2 linked regions of the Styela clava genome follow. The protein of the gene in region 1 interacts with the protein of each later gene in a pairwise test. Links are inferred from orthologs where the notes say so. Each region holds a gene or a part of one and is shown on either strand. Other genes may lie near its edges.

The links.
Region 2: the proteins of homeobox protein Meis1-like (region 1) and pre-B-cell leukemia transcription factor 1-like interact in binary tests that used the Caenorhabditis elegans proteins (3 or more experiments, as listed by UniProt). The link is inferred for Styela clava from reciprocal best matches to the Caenorhabditis elegans genes unc-62 and ceh-20.

Annotation. Positions count from the first base shown.
Region 1 is NC_135253.1:13,942,114-13,955,483, reverse strand, and holds the start of homeobox protein Meis1-like, read left to right. Parts: upstream 1-7,884; 5' UTR 7,885-8,506; coding exon 8,507-8,524; intron 8,525-8,831; coding exon 8,832-9,115; intron 9,116-10,632; coding exon 10,633-10,774; intron 10,775-12,443; coding exon 12,444-12,500; intron 12,501-13,370. UniProt on the Caenorhabditis elegans protein: Acts redundantly with ceh-20 and ceh-40 to perform overlapping roles during embryogenesis.
Region 2 is NC_135254.1:7,435,614-7,448,358, forward strand, and holds the start of pre-B-cell leukemia transcription factor 1-like, read left to right. Parts: upstream 1-6,614; 5' UTR 6,615-6,683; intron 6,684-7,055; 5' UTR 7,056-7,103; coding exon 7,104-7,130; intron 7,131-8,457; coding exon 8,458-8,633; intron 8,634-9,649; coding exon 9,650-9,723; intron 9,724-12,745. Other genes in the region: uncharacterized protein LOC120327068, read left to right, coding at 1,876-1,935, 2,047-2,375, 2,468-2,525. UniProt on the Caenorhabditis elegans protein: Transcription factor that binds to the 5'-TGATNNAT(G/T)(G/A)-3' PBC/Hox lineage enhancer region of sem-2 to promote cell fate specification in the postembryonic mesoderm (also known as the M lineage).

The sequences.
Region 1 (13,370 bases):
ATACAAATATCAATATTGAAAATTTGTAAGATTTATTGAAATTATATGGGGATAATTTTTGTCACAATTTCTGGGTGTGAATGCTTCGGTAGATAACCCTGAAATTGATTATTATGTTTCAATGCAAATAATTATTTTTCATGATAACTTGATTCCAATAGTATATTTTACTAGGAAAATAACCCGCCGTGTATAGACGACGGATTTCGTTGTTGTTTTTCGTTATCTAATTTATCAGTTACAAGGTCGACATCGCATGGTTCATCTATACTTCCCTCACGTACAGCCATCTCTCCCATATTGTGTCGCCATATATTTTGTGGTTCGGGTTCAGGGGTGAAACACGCGTATAGTGAAAGAGCGACAGACGAGAGGTAGCACAGATAGCCGTGGCATGGCATCATAGATAATGATTTGGCGGTGAATTGAGCTGACAGGTACATAGAATACGCATTACCCCATCAGATTTCAAGTTTTTTTTTTGTCAGCAAGAATACTTTCGTCGTTACTCGCTTTTAAAATAGCACGAGCGTTCGAATGATAATCAGCATTGAATTTTTATTTTCGAGTAATGTAATTTATCAAAGGAAAACTAATCCGACATCTTTAATTCGATCGATGTCATTTTGACCTGACTTATTTGCCCTTCATGTCACAAGCTTTGTCAAATGATTTTCTTTTTCTTTTATATACTTCAAATCTTTCATTCTAGACCGTGAGTCGATTGGTGACTGATTCTTTAATAGACCATCCGATTGCATATGCTTTTTCTGTACGTCAGTAGTAACCTTTAAGGTAGAGACATTTTATTGTATAACACTTTATTTCCGTAATTTGTCGCCAACGTAATACGCACTGTAGCAAAGTTCAAAGGTCAGGTTTATGAGTAATTATATGAATAAAAGATTCAAAAAAAAACAATACATTAAATATGTTCATATTGAAATAATAATAATGAGTACTTGATTTATATTCAATTGCATTACTTTTTGTGATTTACGGTAATGTTACACACATACATCACCTAACACGATTTCTCTAAAAGTTTCAATATTTTTAGATAAATGAAAATATTATTATACAATTTTTTATTGATTTCAATGATACAAGATAAAAAATTATTTTGTTACTTGCATATTCACTATAATTGATAATGAAAAAAATGTTAAATCATTTATAACATCCATCCTAACTTCTTAATTTAACTTTCTGAAATATTCCATGTAAAAATACAGAATTTTCTCAGTCTTCCATATTTAGACAGCGTCAATCAATTTCAAATAAAGTACGCAGTAGTCAAATTAGTGTCAAAACTATAATACAACATGACGGTACGTTTTACAGTTGAATATTATGTAAATACATAAACCATGTTTCGTGGCCTGTATCTTGTGCTTGAGGACATTACTTCGTTTGAAAGTATCGAAAGCATAAGAGATTATTTTATTCTTGTATGAGTCGTTATTTGAAGCAGATTAGAATAAACTCGGAACAATATATCAAGTTTAATGCGGTTATTTTACTCATTTTATTCTGCCATATTTATTACATGGATTTAGTATACTGCACATACCTATTACAAGAATTTCTTAATAATCTAGTTATTCTATTTTGAAGAAAATCATAAAATATATTCAACATTTTATTGATATTAAAAATATAATGACTTCGCTGCAAAAAAACAACAATTTTTTCAAATTTTTTTTTTTTAAAACACCGTTTTTCATAATATTACCAGTTTCAAATTTATTGAACATGAAACTTTCATATATTCCCACCTAAAATTTGACGTTTAACAAAATTTGATTACCAAAAATTGGACTGATATGTATAATTTGAATAACACAATTAATTTTAATAACACAATTCGTTCTAAGTTGTGGTATAAAGTTATGCTTGTTTCATTTGGTACAAACTTTTTAAAGCACCATATTATGTTGTCTCAAACTCAGACGTAGGACAACCAAGTTGCATGGTTTTACAGTTATTTCCTCGCATAGGAACTAATAGTACTAAAATTAAATATTTCAGTAAATATTTTTTTCCATAAAAAGTTGTTGTGTTGATAGCACCGAATATACTGTAGATTGAAAAAATGGTAAGCAAAAATGCATGCTATTAATGTGTAATCATTCTTCAGGCAAAAATTAATTTTACAATTTTTTGCTGATATTATCCTACTTATCAGTTTGACGTATATTAATGGGATGAATCTATTATTCGATTTTTTTTCTTGTACAAGAAGCATGTGTGGACGACGACCAACACAAAACTTCAAAAACAAAATAGGCTGATGATGTTCGGTGCTGATTAGATCATTAGAATAATAAACTTTCTCGTTATCCAGTCACGAGCTGATTCTGTTTTTGATTGTAAAATTCAAATATCTCTTTATCCGATTGCGGATTAAACGCATCAAGGTGAAAATCTCTTTCCTAAATCATTTTTCTTCAGAGCATGATCAGTAGATGGGAGTGCCACATATCTATGAGCCAAATGTACTTTACGTTAATTTCTATTACTCGGTTGATCGTTTTTAGATATACCGAGACGATTTATTTCTTGATAAACTCTCGTTACGTTAATGTTTGAATTCGCTTTTTAAAACCTGTCAATCACTTTTACCACCCTGAATTTGACCAGAAAAATGTGGTTTCCATATATGATATAATACGAGCTTCAAAAGCGACATGTATTTTACAGTATAATTAATGAAAAATTGGATCATCATATAAAGATGTATTTCATGATAAAAAAAAATGACATTGCATAAAAAATCAGTCGAGAATTCGCCATCGAAAAAATTTATTAGAGTACTATTTCTCTATACTGATCTGCGAAGGCAAATTAATACACTCACAAACAAAAGCAAGATAGCCTATTTAAAAAAATACAGGCAGTTGCAAGCAAGAATTCGCAACACTAGGAGATACACTAGTTATAAATGGTTTCTCTTATACAACTCAGACTTAGACTTTTTCTTTTACCATTAAAAAAAGTGAATCAGAAACATTTGTAGTGTTTAATTTGCATAACAATAAGCATGGTTGTCATGTTTTATCTAATTATCGCTTGTTTTAACACTCATTAACACTCCTATTACCGCACTAGTTAACTTGTCACAGACTTCCCCTAATGTGACAAGCAGCAAACAGGGTCTGAAGACATTTTTCATTTGTCACATGGTTTCCAGCGTTTCCTCTTTTATAGGAAATCAATTTGGCAGGTTCATAAAATTTTTTGACAAAGTACCGGTTATATGTATAGCACGTGTATGGTTTGATTACAAGATCTTACTGTAGTTGTTGCAATATATTATGATATCATATACCCACACTTTTCGTAGTCAGTGCATAATCGGTGATATTTGTCTAATATAAGGTACAATATTCCACTGGATTAAACTCTAAATTAGCACTCTGTAGAACTATTCCATCAACTACTGAATACACTCAAGACGAGTGATATTGCACTTCTAACTTGGACGCTTCCATGCAAGCGAAATAAGATACTACGGATTGAATACAGGGCATGTATCATATCTCATATAGTAAAAGTGCACGATTGTCTTTTAATTATCTTGTGATCTTGTTGCATCGATTTCATCCCTACAGGAAGCATTTGATCATAAATCACGACTTAGAATTAAGGTTAAGTATTAGTTACACAAGTTGGATTTCAGACGTCACTTGATAAAATAGACGCATTTGATATATTTTTGTATAGGTTATTTTAATGGTTCAAAATATATTCGTTGTTGCGTTCTGGCATGCAGTTACTTTTTATTGGCACCTCATTAGTAAGCAATAAAGATGATTCGATGCAATAAAATCTCGATCGGGTTTTGTTACGAATGGAACATTGTCTTTGCTAATGGTGAAGCAATATAAAATGCTTGACAAATTTGATTAACTTTCCCGCCACGCCTATTTCGCAGTCTGATTTCTATGCTTAAGTATCGATTTAGTCAACAATAAAGAAATTGTCCTCAGTACGCTTGCATAAGACAATTGATGGGACAAAAACAACATATACTGTAAATTGAGCGAAACAGGGCAGCATGAGAAGCCGGTGCTACTTCACAATGATACGTTCCCATCAACAGAATCTGGTCAGCTTCGTTACTTCCTACGAACGCGAAGACGTAAAAAGGGGATTGCGTTCTGCTTTGGTATTTCACGCTCTACGGACTCGCTGTAGGGGTTGTTAATAGCCAAGAAGGACTTCAGCGAGGTCAACAAACGGTCAGGCGACGATAACGAGTTTCAAGAGCTGATAGAGAGTGGGAAAGAATTGCACAAACACATACCAACACAACAATTCATTTCAAAAACAAAACGAAATCGAGAACCAGTAGAACTACTTTGTTTGATTTTTATATGATTGTCAGTAAGCTCATTGTCGATTTTGACCTTCTTCAATGTTGAGGTTTTTATATGGGATGTAGATATAAGGAATATGGAAATTTATATATATTTTTTTGATTTACGCGTTCGAAATTGTGAATATCGCTTTCTTTCATATTGCCCATCTCTGGAAGATAGGCTTAAAGTTGTTCATTGACTTAACCGGCACTCAAATTTTTATTGTGCGTAAATTTTGTTGTTTCGGAATTATATGATCGAAACAAAATGGAGAAAAGTTGCAATGGTGAATTGATGAAGCGGAAAAAATGTCGATCGAACGCTTGTTTCCCCTTTCTTCACACTCATTGCTTTTACTTGAACTTGCGATCATACGGAACGATAACAAAATGGCGATTTTGCAGCGAACTAGGTAACTATATCTTGTAAATGTTTATTCATTGTGTAAATGGACGCCTACAGTCCATGTTTATTCTGGTAGCTTGTTTTACTTCTGGATAGACACGTCTATCATACGATAGTGTAACTACGTCTGCCGAGTTCACGTCTTCAACGATTCACGAGAGTCTCAAGACGCAGTCTGAACAGGGGAAGCTTTCCAGACTAAACATACTATCCTCGTATACGTACGTATACAGGTATAGCATTCTCTTATAGTAGTTTAGTGAACGTATATCACAATCAGGTAGCTTTATTTTGTTGTAACGTTGGTTGGAGAGATGTCAGCTTTGATTGTATATTACTTATTGAAATAACTTTCTTGTGACCATAAAACAATGTATCACAAGGGTGGTTACCGGGACACAGTCAATTTAGTAGGCTATCCTTATTTGCAACATAAGTCAAAGAGAAAGGAAACTCTATTGTATTGTATCAACTTAACGAAGGTAATCAGGTTTGTTGGTTGGTAAAGTGACGGCTTAGTTTCGTTGACGTTATTAGGGATAGCCTATGCAAGCTCGTAAATATCACATGTTGCTTTAACAGTACCAATATTTTATCTTTCAAAGTAAACATATTACGTAAAATTATATAATCTTGTACTGTAGTCCGGTCCCATGTTAAGCCTACCAATCACAAATGTATCAATGATTTTCGTACGATATATTGTCTCTTTTTTATGTTAATGAAAAGGATGTTAATTCAATATTTAGAAAAGATGATTGACCTTAGACTATGCTTTCAAAATATTCTATCTAACGAATTCTTTTAATATAAACGCAAACAGAGCCAAGGTGTTTGCATCCTGTATTTTCCCATGTTCTGTTCGATGCACCAGTTGCTGACCTTTAACATTCTACTTTCAGGTCAATATTTAATCTGATTGTATTTCACATTACATGCCTTAGAACTTTTATAACTCAACATTAACCTAATATTTCATGAGTGATTCAGTAATTTGTTGTTACTGTTGCATTCAAGCACTGGATTTATTTTTAACTCGGAAAGGCTGCGAATAAATATCCTCACCTATAAAAGAGATCGATTGGATGGCAAATAGGGTAAGTTATTTTTTATATTTTTGCTTAACATTATAGATCATGAAATGCTGTATTTCTAGGGTATTTAGAGAAGCTTTACACAGAAACGGTAAGATAATAAACATTTGAAAAAGAGTTTGAAGCAAGTACGAGTTGAATATTAGGCATTATAATTTTTGACTGAGAAAATAGATGGAATTGCAGCAATGTGGTTACATTCAGGAAAGTTTAAAACTGTATAAGTATGTTTAAGAACGTCAATTTTAGAAAATAAAGATATCTGCAGCTAACTTTGAATAAATTATGTCACTCAATATTGTTATGAAAAGAACAAACACTTTCGAAGCATGTATGTATGTTTATTTATTTCAATGAAAATAAATTTGCAAAAAATATTTTGCCAACGTTTTGTTTTACATGAAATATACTAGTATGTATTGAATATTTTGCAGCAATTAAGCATCGCAATAATTTGTTGGCATATTGTTATCATAATATTATAAATTTCTCATGATTGAATCGAGTTTCTGTTTTATCAAATCAAAGCAAGTATTCTCCCATATTTTGAATATTTTATCCTTGAATACATCAGTCGCCTTTTGCAAATTATTTTCATGCGCGATCAAGACGCGTTTTCATGGGTTTAGCTAACTGCTGGATACTTTGTTTCGATATAACGCGGATGCCAATCAACCTTTGCTGTTGGGATTATAAGGCTACTGTGTTTGGCAGAGGTTTTATCACAGTATGAAACTTGAAGTTCGATCTATGATGGTATATGTACAATAAAATTTCACTTCTTTCTGTAGTTAAATTTTTAACATGCAATTGGCAACATGTTTCAAAATCCATAATTTATTTTCATTTGTAACTAACGTTTTCATCGTTAGATATTTGATTGAATACTAGGGCAAAGCGGTGAAAATTTTCCCTGGAGTTCAAGTATTCAACTAACTGCTGAATAATTCTCTTTTCCATGCCTTCATATATCCACCATGTAATGTTGAGGTACACAGGTCGATTCTAGTGCGTATGATAAATGATCGATTTATTGTCTTGTACTTTACGACAACAGCAGAAAGAACGCTAGGTTCTCAAAAATTGACAAGCAAATGGCATTTGAAATTTAAATGGATTTTTGCGCCGCATAAAAAGCAGCACTAAAATTTTTTTGTTTTATTCCTAGTAAAACAATGAACCACCAAGAGATAGGATATTTAATTTGAAGAAAAAATGGAACATATTGCCTTAGGGAATCTTTTTTGATAAAAAATCGAATTGATTTTTTACCATTTTTTCATATTTTCACTCTTCATCTCGTATTTTTAGAAATTGATAAATTTATAATAATTATTTTGCTCAGTTGTGAAAATGTATAAACATGTTGTTCAGTCATCATCATATGTATATATGCAAATACAGTATATTTAAACAGAAAGGTATTCTGGTTTAGAATTGTAGAGACTGAAGTCTGTGTATTTTCAGGTTTCATATTTTGCATGTGTATTCCATTAACCAGTTCTCATGATAGGCCTCATGATATATATATTACTATTATTTTGGCGAACACCTGTCGTATCTCGGTTAGGCATTGTTATTTAGAGTAGATTATGCACCACGGCTATTGTACTCACTCACCTATTCTAATGATTTCTTTAGGTGATCGAGATAATCATGGTGTTAGACCGATCTAGGGTTTTATATTTGCATATTACGTTGGATTGCATAAAGCCTCTGGTCAACAAATTAATATGTAAAAGAAAAATATACACACTCCGCCATGACTTGTCGCCTTCTTCTGATTACGACGTTCGCGACACAAATCTCGAAGCAATAGATCCGCATTGCCCACATTCTTAGCGTAAGAGAGGAGTTAACAACAATGCGGTTGCGCTTCCAACTCCGAAAAGAAATGCCGCAATCCGAGCGTGAAAACTGACCACCGTAGTTCATCACCTCGCTGACACTGAGTCAGTCGCCTTTTAATATCTCAAACTTATAGTTAGTTGGCCGGAGGGGAGTGACGTTTTTATGATTTAGACGTGAAAAATTTGGGTAGCTTTTAGTTTAGATAACGCGACGATGGTTACGCTAGTGCGTGTAGTCATCAAAAAATAAGTGAAAATATTTTTAATAGAACGTGATACTTGAATAATTGGAAAGTTGAATATAGCTATTAAAATTGTCTTGATTCAGTTGTTATGCTCCATATACTTATGCTAGTTTTGGAAGAAGTAATATTTGTTGAAATATGCTGATAACGCAGATAGTACTATTATTCCAGACAAAGAACTAACGCCGTACCAATTAAAATGGAGTCGCTTTTCAGGCCAGACAGATCACATCTTTAAACGCAGGTACATACACGCACCTACGAATCTAGCAGGCTTTCTTTTTCTCGCACGGTTATGCTAATGTGCGGCGCGTGTAACATTTCGGCATTTTTGCAGTTCAATACGTGACAGTTAATACTATTAGTGTACCTGTGTGTTTTTGTTACATTATCGCGCATGCTAATACACCTGGACCAGCAAAGCACGGCATTCGCGGTATTGTCATAAACCGGATTATATTGCCAGAAGTCGGACAAGTAGCTTAGAATCGAGGTGGAGAGTCAAGAACCACAGAAAAGTGAGAATTGAAGAAGGAATAAAGGCTCAAATGGCCGCGACAGTTTGTGTGAGTTGCGATGAATATTGGAGTTGTTATAGTCGATTGTCGTTTTTTTTTTGTCTATTTTCGATAGTTGTGCGTTGTGTAAAAATTTTGAATCAAAAAGGTAACGTTTTATTGAAGTCGAAGTTGTTAAAAAAAGCAAATATCATGGAAGCAAGTCGAATTTAATTATAGTTAGCAACCCGTCAGCCATTTTATAAATTTGTGACGACAGCATTGAAGAATAAACTTTTTAATGTAGAATAGCCGTTTGACAGTGTTTATGAATAGTTGGGGCTGATTCTATTTAAAGCTATAATATACTTTTTAGTATGACGATCATATGGGCCACTACAACGGCATGGCAGCAACGGATATGAGCACAAACAACTCGGTAAGCGGAGGATTATACAACGGTGAAATCAATCGGTCGATGCCGCATATTCCGCACATCAATCACGGTGGATCTATGTCGCATTACCCGGCCTCTGCGCCTATCACTCCTCAGTCAAACTCTATGCATAATACACAAGCACCTGGATCATCAGGCATAGACGATAGGCTAAATGACACAGAACGTTTGAACATGAAACGTGATAAAGACACAATTTATTCGTGAGTTTATTTTTTATATTAAAATGTCACAATATATTTTGTTAGCTCCATTTTACAGTATGGAATTTTTAAATACAAATTTTGTTTAAATGTTTCCAAAGATATAATTTTTAATCGTATTATATATCAATATTATAATAATATCAAATATTAAACATGACAAATATACACTATTTTACCTATTTTCAACTAATTTATATTTATGGGTTCGTCCGAATTTTTTTATTTATTTTACAACGAGATTCTTTCTTCTATACATGCTAAAAATATCCCAATTCTTCAGAAAAAGTATTTATTTCAATATTGAAATACTAAACAATCAAACAATGAATGCCGTAAAAAAATATTTCCAAAATATGCAAAATTCATGCCACAAGTCATGATCACAAACCGAAATAACCCGAAGCGCTGAAATAAATCAGTTTAAAAATATAAGAAAACGTGGTATTGTTAATTGACTAAATTGTGTAATAGATAAAAGTGGACAATCGCTTGTTTATGGTGGTTGATGATATTTTCGTTTTCTTATCGTTATCGTCTTTTCGTTTATTTGTAAATTGGAGCATGAATGCATATACCATCATCGTTGAAAAATTAGTCGCAAAATTCATCACGTTACAACAATATATCTAAACGTTTGGATAATAATGACGATAAATACAAATATGGCTAAATAACCTGACACGCACATGAATGCTTCAAATTATGTATTCATGCCAAATGTGTAATAATCATATTATTGCGTGTCTGCTACCGAATTACATAACTATCCCTGGCACGACTCCTTCAGGATGTTAAGATAGTTTTCATCATTCGTGCCAAACAATATCACTTAAAGTGAGACACTATCACGAATATGTATGCTAGTTTATATTTATTATTACCTCAGATAAATTTGAATATACTCATAAAGTAAGTAGTTAACGTTTAAAGGTATACTTTGTTTTAATGAGACTTTTAAATACAAAGACAAACTGGGGAAATAAGATAGTAAGGCCATCGACATTCTTCTATTGTTTGTCGCACACTTTGCCGATTTTGAAACTAGGGCACGTGGAAACGCAAAATAAAGAATAATCACAAATCCGTGGCTAATCTCCGCATCAGATCGGAAACTGTATTGCACCGTACAATAAAAAGATTTAACTAAAGTGTGATCTATTTCCGATAGAAAAACTCTGATGAGATTTTTATTTTCATTATGAATGACAGACAGGAAATATGACTAACACTTGACTGTGCAATTGAATCAAAAACGTACAGATTAATTTTTGAGGTGAAACACAGTTTTAAAGTGTTCCTAATTTTAGGCATATTCAATATTATAATCCTAGCATTTTATTATTGCTTTATCAAAGATTTTATTTTATATATATCATGTACACACAACGACGAAATAGTAGACGAAATAATTCAAAAACGTAATGATTGACTGCTTATTTTTATCTATCTTCTCAGCTCAGAAACTTATGAAATTTCTTTCAGTATTGATGTTAACATTTTTTCCTTCTATTTAGACATCCCTTGTTTCCTCTACTAGCACTCGTATTTGAAAAATGCGAACTTGCAACTTGCACACCGCATGATTCTACCGTAACAGCCAGTGATGTATGTTCCTCAGATTCCTTTAACGAAGATATTGCTTGTTTTGCTAAGCAGGTAGGAAAACTGCATAATGTTATCACATGCTAATTAAATTTAATAGAAGCATGCTACTCTGTCAAGATTATATTAGACGTACTAATACATTATCCTTGAGTGCATATGACGACAAAGATTTTGTCTTTTCATATATACGCCACATTAGTTGTGTGTGGTATTTTATCACAGTGGTCTTGTTCTCCTTGTCATGCTGACTATATAATTTCGTAATCTACATTTTTCTTAATGGAAATGCATGCAAAAGAGTTTATAAGGAAGATAGTGTCACCTTGAAAAATATGACCTTAATGAGCCCTCCAAATTAAATTTTATTGCAAACTTGTTCTTCTGCTTATATTTATCCATATGAACGAATAAATTAGCGTAATTAATTTTATGTTTTGTAATATTCCTATTTGCTCCATTCATATAACGTGGATTTCTCGATGAATGAGCGTTGCAAATTATTATGACAAGTCGGCCATGTTGGTTTCGTCAAAACTGACGGCGATCCTCTTTTATAACCCATCACGATATCGGAAGCAATGCAATGAAATATCTTGGTCGTTCAATATTTCTGGTGACATATTGGCATAAACCTTGTCATGAACTTTGATAACACTTGCATTTTGTCACGTTGCCTTTGTCGTTTATGGACAAGCTGTAACCAATATTTCTGAAGTAACCCAAATATTGTTTAATATCGAGACATTGTCTCGTAATCGCGTTTTTTACTCCAAATTTGCTTTTTTAAATAATGTTTATTAAGAGTCGATATGATTCCGTCCGTGGCTGCTTGTTCACCTCTTGTAACAAAATAGAAACAACAGTAGATTCGGCAATACTTCATTTTCATCTAGCATAATTGGTGTACTGAAACAATACAGAAACAAGGATAATAATATGTGTTTCTCAAATTCGATGGTCCGTATCTGTGAATGAGAGTGTGTCGACGGTAACGACAGAATCAAATTGTTATCGCTCTAATCCAACGTGCAAAACATTACAACTCTGTTAATGGGTTAATAAAAAGAGAAATAAATCTGGAGTCGTCGATTGTGGATTCGGGGTGAAGGAAAGGTCGACTCGGATTATGACGTTCCAAATTTGGCACTTCTCACTTAACAATCGTCACCTCCGGCAAATCGCAGCAGTGCGCCGTAAAATCAGTACGAGTTATTGGCTTCTCCTTCGCTCCATCATAATGATATTGTTACCACCATATTACTTTCAATTATTCCTAGCGGTAATAATTGTTCCGCACCCATTTTCCATCGGATGCCCTGTTTGTAAATCGAGCATGTCGATTCGCAGCCGCTGATTATCGCCAATTATCAATTTTTATTCACACTTCTAATTACGACTCACTGCCTTCTCCGTTCAGTTACCATTCTTCTGATTTTTTCCTATTGTAATCGAGTGCCAATTTTTAATCGAATAAACGAACAGCACCGTCACGGTTTCAAATAGATTTCCAGTTTAATTGTATGGATATAGAAAACTAGACCAAATCGCCGTTGGTGGATCCCTGCTACACTTTCCATGAAATCGTTAACAATAACATTTTGTTGATGACTTGGAAACAGTCAATAATTTCAACTGCTGTGAATAATTAGCGGAGTTCTGTGTCATCAGTTCTTTGTGCAATATTACTATACTTAACACTTAAAAAATTTTATATTCACAGATTCAAAATGAAAAAAGACCGATATCTTTCGACCCAAACAATGAAATTGATAATTTGGTAAGTTATGCAATGCTGAATCTCTTCTTTCTGTATTTCCTAACCGTTGTGAATGAAAGCTATAAATTGATTACCAGGGTATGACGACAGCATTGCAGATAAATGGCTAACAACAAAAAGGCAAACTTGGTACATAAATCAAAATAGCACTCGAAACCACAACATGAAATTCAAATTATATAAAGACTTAATTGTCAAAAAGCCACCTTAATCAAAGTAACGATAATCTCAAGATATGATCAAAAATAAAAACCATAACGTTTACATAAAATAGGGCGGAATCTTTGAGGAACGGTTAAAACCAGATATCAAAAGTAAACTACATATGAATCCGTTAGCGGTATAAATTGAATATAAACAAAATTGTATTTCTACTAGCTTTTTTATTGATGCCGATTTTCAGCTTCAACTGTAAAACCAAAACGTCGCAAAGAATTAGCTGCTAGCCGCCGGCATAAATATTCTATTGTTTCAGCTGTGTAGGCAGCAATTTTCTTCCATCCATTGATGCATTTTTAAAATAAAATTTATATTTTATCACAACTATCTAAATTTCATGTCTATTTAAAGTGAAGTTATTCTCACATTTGCATATCTTTGCACCATCAATCCGAGGCTTTTCACAATTGTTAAACGGTTACACTAATTTGACCACATATAGTAGTCGAGTTACCAATAATGTGTTAAAATTTCGTCTAGTAATTTTGTTATTGTATATAATAGCGCTGTTGCTTATTTTGTTAGTTACTTACCTAAACAAAAACGAACAGAAAATTACTGCTAAATTTGAAGGGGAGATAATCATCTTTTTGTAAAAGATAATATGGGACCTGTATTACGAGATAGAAAAATAAGATTGCATGACAATGG
Region 2 (12,745 bases), on another chromosome or scaffold:
CCTGCAAATTAGATGTGCGACAGGAATTTCTGGGTATGATAAAAAAAAAATAAGTTCAGTCTCTGCTGAGATTCTAAAAGTTGTTAAAAACCAATTATGCGTAATTAATTTCTGGGCATGCTCAAAAAAAATATATTTAAATTTTGCGTTTCCGGAAACATGATACATATATATATATACGTAATACATATAAACATTGCGGTAAACGTCACCTTGAATGCAAATGAACATGATATATTTATTTGTTTTTTTAAGGTACGAATATCTGCGCAAAATAGCGTTCCCCCTTCCAGCTTATCGAACGTTATGTTCACGGGTATTCAAATTGGATCTGAAAGCTGGGGTTCAATATTTGATATTGGATTGGATGAAGACAAAAATGGAAGGCTTGGATACTCGTGCTCATTTGTGTTCGGTAATGCTGGATGAGGTTCAGATATCCAGAGGAGTCGACTACGACATTGGCATTAAGGAGTTTGTTGGTTATATTAACCCTGAAGTTCTTGGTGGAAAACCTCTAGACACGTTTGCCTCACATGCGCTATGTTTCATGGTTAAGGGAATTTCTCTGAAGTGGAAGCAGCTTATAGGTGGGGTGGAATACTCTTTGTTTTGCTCATTATTTTGTTGTTTTCTATCAAACATAGTAGGCTATTCCAATTTGCTGTGACTTCTCAGGTTATTTTTACACCGGAACTTCTGTGAGCGGAAATGACCTATGGTGCTTAACCAAACAAATGATATTAGCTCTATCAGAACGTGGATTCACGGTGGTTTCTATTGTCAGCGACATGGGATCCAGCAATCAAGCAATGTGGAGAAGTGCGGGGATAGTTTCTAACAGGTTTGAATAATTTTAAGGATGTGATATCCGCGTATACATATATCACGAAGAAGCCTATCCATTACAATTTACACCATATTAACTTCTCATTGCTTACTCTATTTTAGATTCGAAGTGAATTGGTCTGTGCCTCACCCTGCTTTCGAACATAGGAAACTTCATTTTATTGCCGACGTACCGCACCTTATAAAAAATTTACGAACAGCTTTTATGAATCATGACATTGAATTGCCAGCATCTGTCGTTACGAAATATAATCTTCCGACAAAAATGGTGAGTATCAAAAATGTGCTTGATAAAAATGCGCAGTAAGTGTATTATACCTATAGGCTAAATCTAAAATTTATCTAACCACAGGTTCGATTCTGTTACGTTGAGAAAGTGGCAGATGAACAGAGAGAAAAAGAGATGAAACTTGCCCCAAAGCTCACGGAGAAGCATATAAAACCTTCAAAATATCAAAAAATGAGAGTTGGTCTAGCGGCTCAGGTCTACCTGTATTTCAGTATATTTCTACCTATTTAAAAATATTGAAGTAACAGTATAAAAGTCGTAATTTCACATTTTTGCTGAAATAAAATATTGTTAAATCATTTTTTTTCTTCATAAACCAATGAGTTAGAATTTTACATTAAACTCCATCTTTCATAGGTTATCAGTCATAGTACAGCATGCGCAATAAAAACGCTTGTGGAGAGTGGCGTACTGCCAAGAGATGCTTTGTCGACATCATTCTTCTGTTCATTCTTCAACAAATGGTTCGATATTGTAAACGCCAGGTCCATTGATAATGCTCTGTTCCCTAACTCTCGAAAAAAGCTCGATCACCTTATCGAGGTCTGTTGTAAGTGACACATCATATATATTGTAAGTAAAATCGCATACTAAACGGGCACCAAATATTTTAGGTGATCGGCGTCGTACAGAATTTAGTATTTCCAGGAAACAAATCGAAGCCAATTCAATCCGGTATTAAGTTATCAACAACTTCGATAATCGGGCTTCATGCTGACATTGTGCTAGGCGGAAAAATGAATTTTTTACTACCTGGAAAACTAACACAAGATGCTGTAGAGAATTTATTCTCTCAGGTTATTTTTTGTCTTATCTTTCAGTACAGCGATAGAATATATTAAATAAATCGTAATTGCATTTATATAGTCGTATGGTGATCTCTGAATGAAATGTTTTTAACATCACAGGTGCGAAGTAAGGGAAATTCGCATCCGAAGGCATGTCAATTCCGAAATGCAATAAAATTAATATCGGTTGGTCAGTTTCTCCACGTTCCCTCGAGTGGAAATTACGACACGGACGACTCAGAAAACTTGATAACATTTATAAAAGAACATAGCAATGCCTCATATTCTTTGACGAATGATGAGCCACAACCGAACATCGAAATCAATGAAGTGGACGCACTTATTGAATCTGCAGTCGTCTGCATGGACATTTGCGAGTCCAACGGGCTTTATTATATTTTAGGATGGGCTGTTTTTAAAGAACTTAAAAATATAGAAAAATGTGAAACGTGTGAAAAATCATTTTGTAGGCAAGAATATACGATCAATATGAAGGATTGTCCCGAAGCCCTTTTAACACTTTTTAAATCATATAATAAAGACTTAATATCAACCGAAAATTCGATGCACCTGATTCATCCATCACTGTCCCTGCTTAAATATTTTCAACAACTGGAATCTATTTTTCGGCTCAACATAAAAACTTTAAAATTGCAGCCTAATCCAAAAGCATTATTAAAACAAAAAATCGAATGCTTAAGACGACCATTGTTCTCCAGTTGCCATAATTTAATTGAAAAAATTATAGATAGATACATTCTCTTGAGAATGCGAATTTATGCTAGGAGAGCAACCCAAAAAAGTATATGCCACCAATATGCTAGCAGAAGCGCTGCTCGCGCAACAAATATTAGGTAGTCAAAGACCTGTATATATATTTTGATTCCATTTTGAAATTTTTTGATTGTTTTTAATTTATTCGATTTTGTTAGGTACTCTTCGATGTTCTACTTCATCAACGTTACGGTTATCATTAATTATATTACACGAATGCATTTATACTATTAAAATATATTTTCAGCTAAATTCCGTCGGCCACTTACATATTGTTCAAATATACAGTATATTTTTGTCCTAGTGAACTATGCGTGTTCGACTGTTTGTTCCATGCGCAAGAGTAGTTACGCGTGTTCGGATTTATAGCAAAATAATACATAATTTGATAATAATAAATCCCATTTTCACAAGGTATTTGAATTGTGTAGGGTTTTTATTTTAAATAAGGACTTGGATCTAATTACATAAAATCCATTGTTGCGTCAGAATACTTGCATTGTTAAGCGTCAAATCGGTATGTCGCAATAAAGATCTCCGAGGACCTGATCGAAAAATTGCACAACGTTGTCTCTGCGGCCAATTTTTTTGCAATAGATAGTGTTGTACTTCATATTTTATTACATATTTACATAGTTCATAGCTTGGCGTTGAAAATCCACCCTTCGGTTTCAGTCTTGCTCCACTAACAGCTGAGTTATTTGATTCGGTACAACAACACGACGAAAATTTCCCATAAGACTCCATTGTTTCGTGTTTTCCAAATATGGCACAAGATGGCGTCCATGGACCTGTTTAACATTAGGCAAGTTGGTTGCCGGCCCTTGATATAAAACAAAGTCCTTATATACCTAAGTTGCGCAACAATGGAAATTGGCCGCCATTTTCGATCAATATCGCCTGCGAGGTTACGGCGGTTCTGCGTGATCCGCGGCTAGGCTGGTGCCTTCTGCTATAGAATTAAAGGCTGTTCGACTCTAATTGCAGCGGGAATAGCAAAACAGTGCAACTATTGAAGCTATCATCAGATGCAGAGAAGGAGGAAATGGGAAAATAACTGTAGGCGACGTAAAGGCTGGAAATCTGGCCCAGGCAGTTCCTTGAGTGAGGTTAGTCAAACGAATGGCCTAATGTCAAACTAACACCAGGAAAGATAGGTGGTACACAGTTTTAGGATGATGTCATATTTAATTATTTATGTCACGTTGCCGATTCGACTCATTTAAGTTAGCTCTGACCCCAGGAAAGTTGAGTTAAATTAGTAAGATTTTCTAAATGCTGGCTTCAGATGTCAGGTCAGCAGGTTAGGGAAACTGTTTTCAAATCTTCCTAAGTAATGCAAAGTCAGAACATTGCATTGAATGTATCAGATTTATTGTCACGATTGTTTAAAGCACTGCAGTAACAAAAATTTATAGTAATTAGCAGCAATATGAGTAGACAATTCGGAGCTTAGTGGAAATAATGAATTTCTGAACTGAATGCGTGTTTCGTTAAGTCACTGTCAATTATATTTTGTGTTAAAATGGGATGCTGAACGCTTGGTATTTCGAAAGTACGTTCATTGTGTAACCTACAACTCATTCCTTTTTCAGACTCACTTTTGAAGAATACCAATTTGAACCGAAGAGTACGGATAAATGGAAAAAATTAAAATAAAAGGGAATGACAATATTCGATGTGCCAAATCCACCAAAAAATTCAAATCATCAAGAATTGTATCAACTAAAATATTGACTGAGATGAAGTTTCAAAAAATAACAATAGGCCTACAGTGAGTTGTGAATGCCAAAGTAAACTCTAATTGCCAGTTTGAATGTCTCGTAAATCATTTCTTAAACGTTTTGGGTTTGATTGAAACAGCCGACTCCAGGACGAACCAGTTGTGTCAGAAACTTATAATGTTGGGTCATATAAAAAAGTACAAAAATGTGAAAATTGGGGGGGGGGGGGGGCATTTCCCTCTAATCGTTTTTGCGATATGAAACAACATAACACTTTCATTATAACACGGGGGTGCTATTTTTTTGCGTTTTTAATCAGCCACTCGTATGTAGTCGCCATCGCTTGGCTGACATGGGCAGTTCAGAGCTCGTGATGACCTAAGATGAGGAAGGTCGGAATGAAATATGGGGCTAACCGTCACTTGGTACACATACTGCTGAAGTTTCAATTATTGTACCTTTTTCATTTCTTTGTTATTTAATTGTTAAAATTTTAATTGTTGATCAATCGAATAGCACTTCTTTTCTATGTCTTTCATATTAAGGTATTTACATGCTATTCTTGATCAATTGAATGGTCTTTTTCTCATGTCTTTGATAGTTGATATGAAGTATCATTTCTTTTTATTGGTTAATCAAATTATTTCCAAATTCTAGACTATTAGTTTGTTTGTAATGGTTTCATGAATCATACTGTAACACCAAAGATTTAAATAAAAATGTTCACTATTCCTATGATAATCATTGCTCGCTTTGATTTGTAGACACGATTCCCAAGATGTGAATTATTGAATTTTTCTATTGATTGATCCTCTTGTGTGAGTCAGAAACATTTTCAAAACCCGACCTGCTAAAACTTATTGATAAGTACATTATAAGTATTAACATTCTTGGAGTGCAAGGTTGCAAAAATCCCAAACATATGTATAAAGTTCATGCAATTTTTAAACATTTTCAGATCATGACAAACCTATGAATAGAATTCCTCTTGCCCTATCCAATGTGTTTCTGTGTAATGTGTATGTCCACTGGGTTGCACTTTATTTTATTTGTTATTCACGCTCAGACACATCCTCATCACATTAATTTTTTTGTCCCTGATCCACTTTGTGTTTATAGCCAATTTTTTTTTTTTTCTGATTATTATCGTCCGAACCCCATTGAATTCAGGTATCAGTCAGGTATAATTTTCCATCACATCCCCTCATTTTGTTCACAAATTTATTGTAAAAATATTATCTAAATAGTTCAAGTTTTGCCATTAGTCATCTCTCAGGGTTAAACTTAATATTGATCACTTCGAATAGATAGACTAGAATAGATATTCAAGAATGAAAAAATTCCAAATTGTTTTTTGCGTTTTTCTCAAAATTGTGGCTATGGCTATTTTATTGATGACTGTATTTTTTGGTTGACAAAATATTGAAATCTCTCTCTCTCATTGTACTGCCATTGGTAAGAACGTTTACAACTCAGTTATGCAGCTGGAGCCTGGAGTGTCTAAAAAGGGGCGAATTTCTAATGTAACATTGACATCAATATTTAGCTACAGTCCCATTTGACGTCGCCTTCACTGTCGAAAAATTTAGTTAGTTTTAGTCATTTAGGCCTGTTGTAGTGTGAAACTGTGTTTGTCTACTATCCTAATGGAAACATCATCACGGAGGTCTTGTCACGCCATCGGGACGCTTCGGTTGTCAGTAAATTCCGGACGCCAGACGTCAAATCCGGGACTGTCCCTGCCATTCCCGGGACGGTTGGTAGCCCTAGCATCAGCAGGTCTTGAATAGTTTAAGATTTTGCCTACTTTCCCGATTTTCCGTAGGCTATATGAGTGTGTGTTGACTTGCATTGCCTATATATTTGTTTTAGTGTTACGAAAAACCGAAATAAACTTTACTTTACTAACCGTGCGTTGCGTCTATATTATGTTTGTTACCGAGCGTCGTGGGTTTTTAATGTAAATGCCCCGACATCCTATCGGATTTCTGCGCCCTCGGAATATAACTACTGATTTAAATCTGCCCCAATAGCCTTTTAAAACTACTAAAATTAGGCTTGTTTGCGTTACACTACTCGAGCCGAATGATCGAAAATGGCGTCCATATGACGCCATAATGGGACAAGTTAGTTGCACGGGGTTGATATAAAATAAGAGTAAATTCTAGTTTGACCACAAGTGGGCACTCGAAGTGTTTTTTTCACGCGCAAGTCGGTCGAAGTTGCGCTTTGCTGCTTCAAACTTTTGTTGCTTTTCGGGTAGGATGATATTTACTTTTGTTTATTTTGGCATATTTACTTATTTTGGAGGTTCTGTAATACCAAAACTGAGGATCTAATTTAGTTTATTAACACGAACAGGGACCTATGGGTCGTTTCATTTTTATGTAGTTGTGCATTTGTGTGAAAAAAACGCTTTTCTCATTATTTTTTTTTGTATAAAGTGGTACCGTAATCTATAAAGTAATACCGTAGCCTACTTACAGACTTATGTAGGTCAGGTAGATATCCATATTGGATTTTTTTGGTATGTAATGAACTATATTCTAGTGGCAGACTGGAGGTTATTTTTGTATTTAGACTACAGATTTAGTTCGTTCTTTTCATTTTGACATAATAAGTAATTTTCAGGATTTTGGATCTAGCAAAATTAAATTGAAGGAAATTCTGTGGCTACAAATGGATGAAGGGAATTACGGCAGCCAGGTGAGTTGCTCAATCAGTTGAAAAATGACTTTGCAAATTCTCATTTTGATTAATATTCTAATACTAGTTACATGTGTGTGAGTGTGAATGGTTTGATTCAATAGTTTTAGGTGAATGAACACGTACCACTTCTTTTTGGCAATACCCGTACCTTCCATCTTATATTCCAGTATTCTGTACGTTTTAAACCTTATCCAAGGTTTTGTTTACTCTGCTGATTTCATAATCAGTTTTTATTTATTTGTTTTTATCAACCGTTTTATGCCTTTTTGCTGATTATGGAGTCGAAATAAACTTATCTTATCTATCTATATCTGTACCGGCATAATCTCAAATGATATTGTCTAGTTTTCAAGATTTCACTTTCAATTGCTTACTCTAAGAGTCTATGCTGTTGGTTGTCCTTATGTAATCTGAAAATTTCGAATTACCCTTAAACTTGGATTCTAGATTTATAGTCTAGTAGAACTTCTGCATTAAGTGCATTATTTTTGCCCCAAAAAGCATGTGGCACTTAATTTATATTTATCTAATACAGTATGGCACAGTTCTTTGAGAATTGGAAGACCCCACATTGAAAGACATCAATTATAACAGTGAATGCAAACCCCTACTTTTGGCTTCGATAACAGCAGTGTAGCTTGGAGAGTTATGAAAAAAAATGCTATTTTGGTCCAGATGCCTTGGTTTCCGAGACAAATAAAGTGTTTGTTTTATTGCACCAAATGTGGGGACATTTTTGAATCAGGAAACTGTGCCCTACTGTAATTATGATATTGGTCTCATCAAGGAACCACGATTGTTCAAAAACACTTATAAATTTATGAAAGTCGAATATTTCTGTGTTTCATTGAAATCGTGGCTTCATGTTGCTCAGTGCAATCCTTATGCACATATCCACTATTCAAGCGACTCATATTTTAATTCATAATAGTTACTAGAGTAGAAATTACTGCTTCACACATATAGGTATAGGGAAATTGACACAGTCCACTGAAAGAGAATCTGTCGCCGAGCTACCAAATCCCACAGAACCCCAATAAGCGCTTCGTGGAAACAATGTTGAAAAGCATTGGGCTACAGTGTTCACTATCAGCGCACTTTTTGCAAAAACTGCGAGGTACTTTGGCAATTCTTTTTGAGACTGTGAAATTGTTATGACACTAGATACTACACTTGAAATTCTAATACATATCCCCTGCCAGTTTGATTTGGCTGCAAAATTGGTGAAAACGTTAAACACAATATATGTCTTTGGACAAAAATAACCCTACAGAATCAGCAGGGTGAATTTTGCATTACTAACATTATTATTTTGCGTTCCCAGGCATTTTTGCAAGGGCAAATGCACGGAGGTGGAGATTACAATCCACGAGGACAACAAGGCAACGATGTAGATTCACAATCAAATATTCTACCTCTCGGTAGAAAACAAGACATCAGTGATGTTTTGCAACAGATTATGACGATTACTGACCAAAGTTTGGACGAAGCTCAAGCCAGGTTATTTTGGAAATTTTATTTTCACTCTTGTGCTGATGAAACTTTTACAAGATGTCTGAAAATATGTTGAATAAATTTCTAATTGTTACTTATCGATCTTAAGATCGGTAAGTATGTTGATAGGTATTTGTCTGTTTGTCTGTTAGATGAACGCGATATCTCACGAACGCGTGGTTGAATCTGCTCCAAATTTTGCATGTGCATGCATCTTACCTCGGACCAGAAGCCTATAGATTTTGGGTTAATTATGTCGTATAATTAGCGAGTTATTAACTAATTACCGATCTAAGATCTATAAGTCTTCGGTCTCCGACCGATATTCTCGTTTTCACTTTATTTACACCTTTAAATCTGTAGCGGGAAATCTCAAACTATGTAAGGTGGTGGTAAATTAGGTGTCTTAGGATGTTTGCACCAAACATGTCTGCCTATATGGTACATTATGTTGTCTATCTATACCAGAGGAGCAAGATTTTTGCACCAGGGGCTAAACAATTTTGCCCACCTAGACTAGCGGGCCATGTAAGTGTGACATGAAACGTTACATTTTATGAACGATATTTGCAGTGTTACAATATTTGCAGTGTTACAATAAGCCTCATGCCAAAATCAAATTTAATCGTAATCTCAACAAATTACTTGGGTTATGTTATTTTTTGGATAAAACATCAAAATTTGGTTTTAGTTTATTTGTGGCTGCATCAGGCGGGCCAGATTGAATTACCAAACTTACTTTGCCAATGTCAGATCAATACCCATGTTTGACTGTTTTACAAGTTGTGCTCAAGGCTGGGATTTAAACTATAAGAATAAACTTAGTATTGATAGCTCACCAATGAATCGAATATTTGAATATAATATGTTAAAAGTTTTCAGGATATTTTTTATTTGCTTCCTGGGCCGTGGATATGCTCCCATTCACAGCCAAAATTTTCAAGTTTTTCATATGCTGCGTGGTTCTCTTATTTCTATTTGCTATAAATTAACTTATTAATGCATATTATTCATGTTTTCAGGAAACATGCATTGAATGTTCATAGAATGAAAGGAGCTCTGTTTCAAGTCCTTTGTGAAATAAAAGAAAAATCAGGTAAGATGAAGTACAGATTGTCAGATGTTTGACAGGGAAATTTAGTTGCTTACTAAAGTTGCTTTAGTTGCAAATTGTCTGAGATACATTAATAATGGGGCTCCTGAAGTATGCGAACCAAGATGGTGGACATCGGAATGTAATATGTGTACTAGGTTAGGGTTAGGCCATAATTTTAGGTACAAATACTACAAGAGGCACTTGGCTAGTCTTCGAACTCATAGTAGGACTAAAATAGGGAAAATTGGAATAAAATTATGGCCTAACTTTAACCTGTTACCCATGCTACGTTTCGATGTCCGCCATCTTGGTTCGCATACTTCAGGAGCACCTTAATAATAATGTTCGTCAATTTTTGTCTCTTATTTCTGTATGTAGCATGATTACAGTGATGTTTTAACAAGATCATGTTAATGTCTGAGAATAGCTGGATTATGGGATGTTCTTATGGCAGTGGTCCCCAAACTTGATTGACCGGGGGCCAAAATTATAAGCGGAAGGATGCGGGCCAAGAGAGAAAGTGCCCGCAAGGGGCCCATACCCGTACCGGTACATATAAATAACATATCGATATATTTGAATTGTTACAATAATATAATGATGATCATGTAACAATTTTGTGGTATCTTGGAGGCAAAAAGAAAAAACATAAAGTGTCTAACTATTTCACTTAAGTTCGGCGGGCCATATTAAATCGTTACAGGCCTTGATTTGGGAACCACTGGTTTATGAGATGTTTTATTCTGTTTGAAATAGGCTCCACACAAAATGTAATGGCAGATTGTATTTGGATGAATTGTATCATTGGAATCCACTTTCATATATCTTTATAGGAGTAGTCCGTGTCCGCCGTTGACGAGTCTTTTCGGACCTGGAGCCCCGTGAGGGCGCTGGGGCACGGCCGATCGCATTCGCTTTGTTGGGGCCGTAATCATTTTATAAAATATAATATATTTCTTTTGATTGTAATTTTCAAGTCACTAATATTCAAAAATTATCTAACGCTTTTTAAAATAAAATCAAAATTTATTCGAATTTTCCAACTGAATCATACCAAAACCAAGTGAATAATTTAAGATGATATTCCTTAATTCCTTTTATGCTATAGAATTTCACATTTCGATCATCCTTGCTTTGAAGTTGGCTTAACGAAGTATTAACTTTACAAAAGTCTGATTTAATCCGGCAGAGAATGTGTTTGAACTTGTGAATCATGCAATTGAACTGTGTTATAATTGTAATTGATCAAAGCAGAAGATTAACAGTGGATTAAATTCATTTAATCGTTTTTGAGAAAATTCATCAAGTTCATCCAGAAATGTTAAACAATATTTGAAATCGGCTTTACATTTTTTTTATTTTTTTTGGGAGGGGATGCAATAATCAGTGATTATTTATTAACCACAGTTTTAAGAAATTAAGAAATGGAATGAAGGTCTTTTATTTATATTGTAAGACTTCAACTGCTCAATCTGACAATTTTAAATTGAAACTAGTCCAAATTATTCTTGATACCACAAATTTAAAATATTGAATATAAATAATAATTATCTATGTTTCCATATGTATATTAGATTAGATTAGGACATGATTAAAAGAGTGATGTGTTAAAAATAGGGATGAAAAATAGGGGAAAGATTAATGTTATTTGAAAAGATATATAGGGTGTCCATAAAGTCTGACTTTATAACAAAATTGAAATTGTAATAGGACTTTATGGACACCATGTATTTCAACTATATATTAAAAATATTGAAATCACACTGGCCACACTGATTACACTAGATCTGTATCGAACATTTCATATGCACATTACCAACTATACCAATATTGTTAGTATACCCTATAATGTAACATAGCACTGAAATTTGACCTTGTATTTCCTATGATTTTGACAAGGTTAGGAGACTTTCAATATCTTAAAAACCACAATTTCGACAGCCTATGCCACTCCTATGTTGTTAAAATGGATGGCATGCCAAGATTATAGTGGCACACCTCACGATTTGGAGGTAAAATTTCATGATAGTGTCATTCATTGATATAATCTGATGTTCTTGCTTCTGTCATCCTCAAATTAAATGTAAAACAATGTGCTTTATGATCAGATAATGCCAATTGTCTTGATCATAATCTCTCTTCTTCTTGTCGAAGTGACTTAATCTGTGTTCCCATTGAGTTTTTATCAGTTTGTATTTTGTTGCAATTTTACTCATAACATTTTTTGCAATTTGTTTTATTGGATTGTATAATATTTATAACTCTTTTTATAAGCTGGTGTTAATGATCTTGCATAATTCGTAGGGGAACACTAATTTTAATCTCCACTTCAGACTGTGTATTAGATAGGATTCAAATGCATAATCTATTGGACTTTAATTTCAATAAACGGATCAGAGACTGAAATGATATGAAACATTTACTCTTCTGATCAAAAGGTTATATCTAATATCGGATATATATCTAATACCGAACAAATTAAATTTTTGATAGGTCTGATCAGTTCCTAATTTCAGGAATAATTTGGGGTAGGGCCGTAGTGTGTGTACCAGGTCAGAGCTAGGTCATAATGTTATTACGAATACCCTTATTTCAGTTCTATTACGAGTTCAGGGACTGTCTGTGTTAGCCAGGTTGATATACCTCTGCCCATAGGTTTTCGTCCCTTTACACAACGCGATGTAAAGTAGGCGAACAAAATTAGTTACCTCCATATTGGTACACACATTTCCGGAGCGCCTAATTTGGAATATTTTCACTTGGAATTACCTTGTTCCCTTGTAGGTGATTGGCATTTGGCTGTTAGACTAAAAATAAGCTTACTCTAATAGTACCATATGATATTTTTATTCTATATGATTTTTTCATTATTTCTATATCATCAAGTTTAATCTGTATGAATATACAAGAATATCTGTTCGATCTTCGTTGAATTCAAGTTCAAAGTTAAAGGAAGGAAGCAGACCTTGGTCGCTTTCAATATTAAATATTAGAAAATATTATTTGTAGACGTAGTATAATT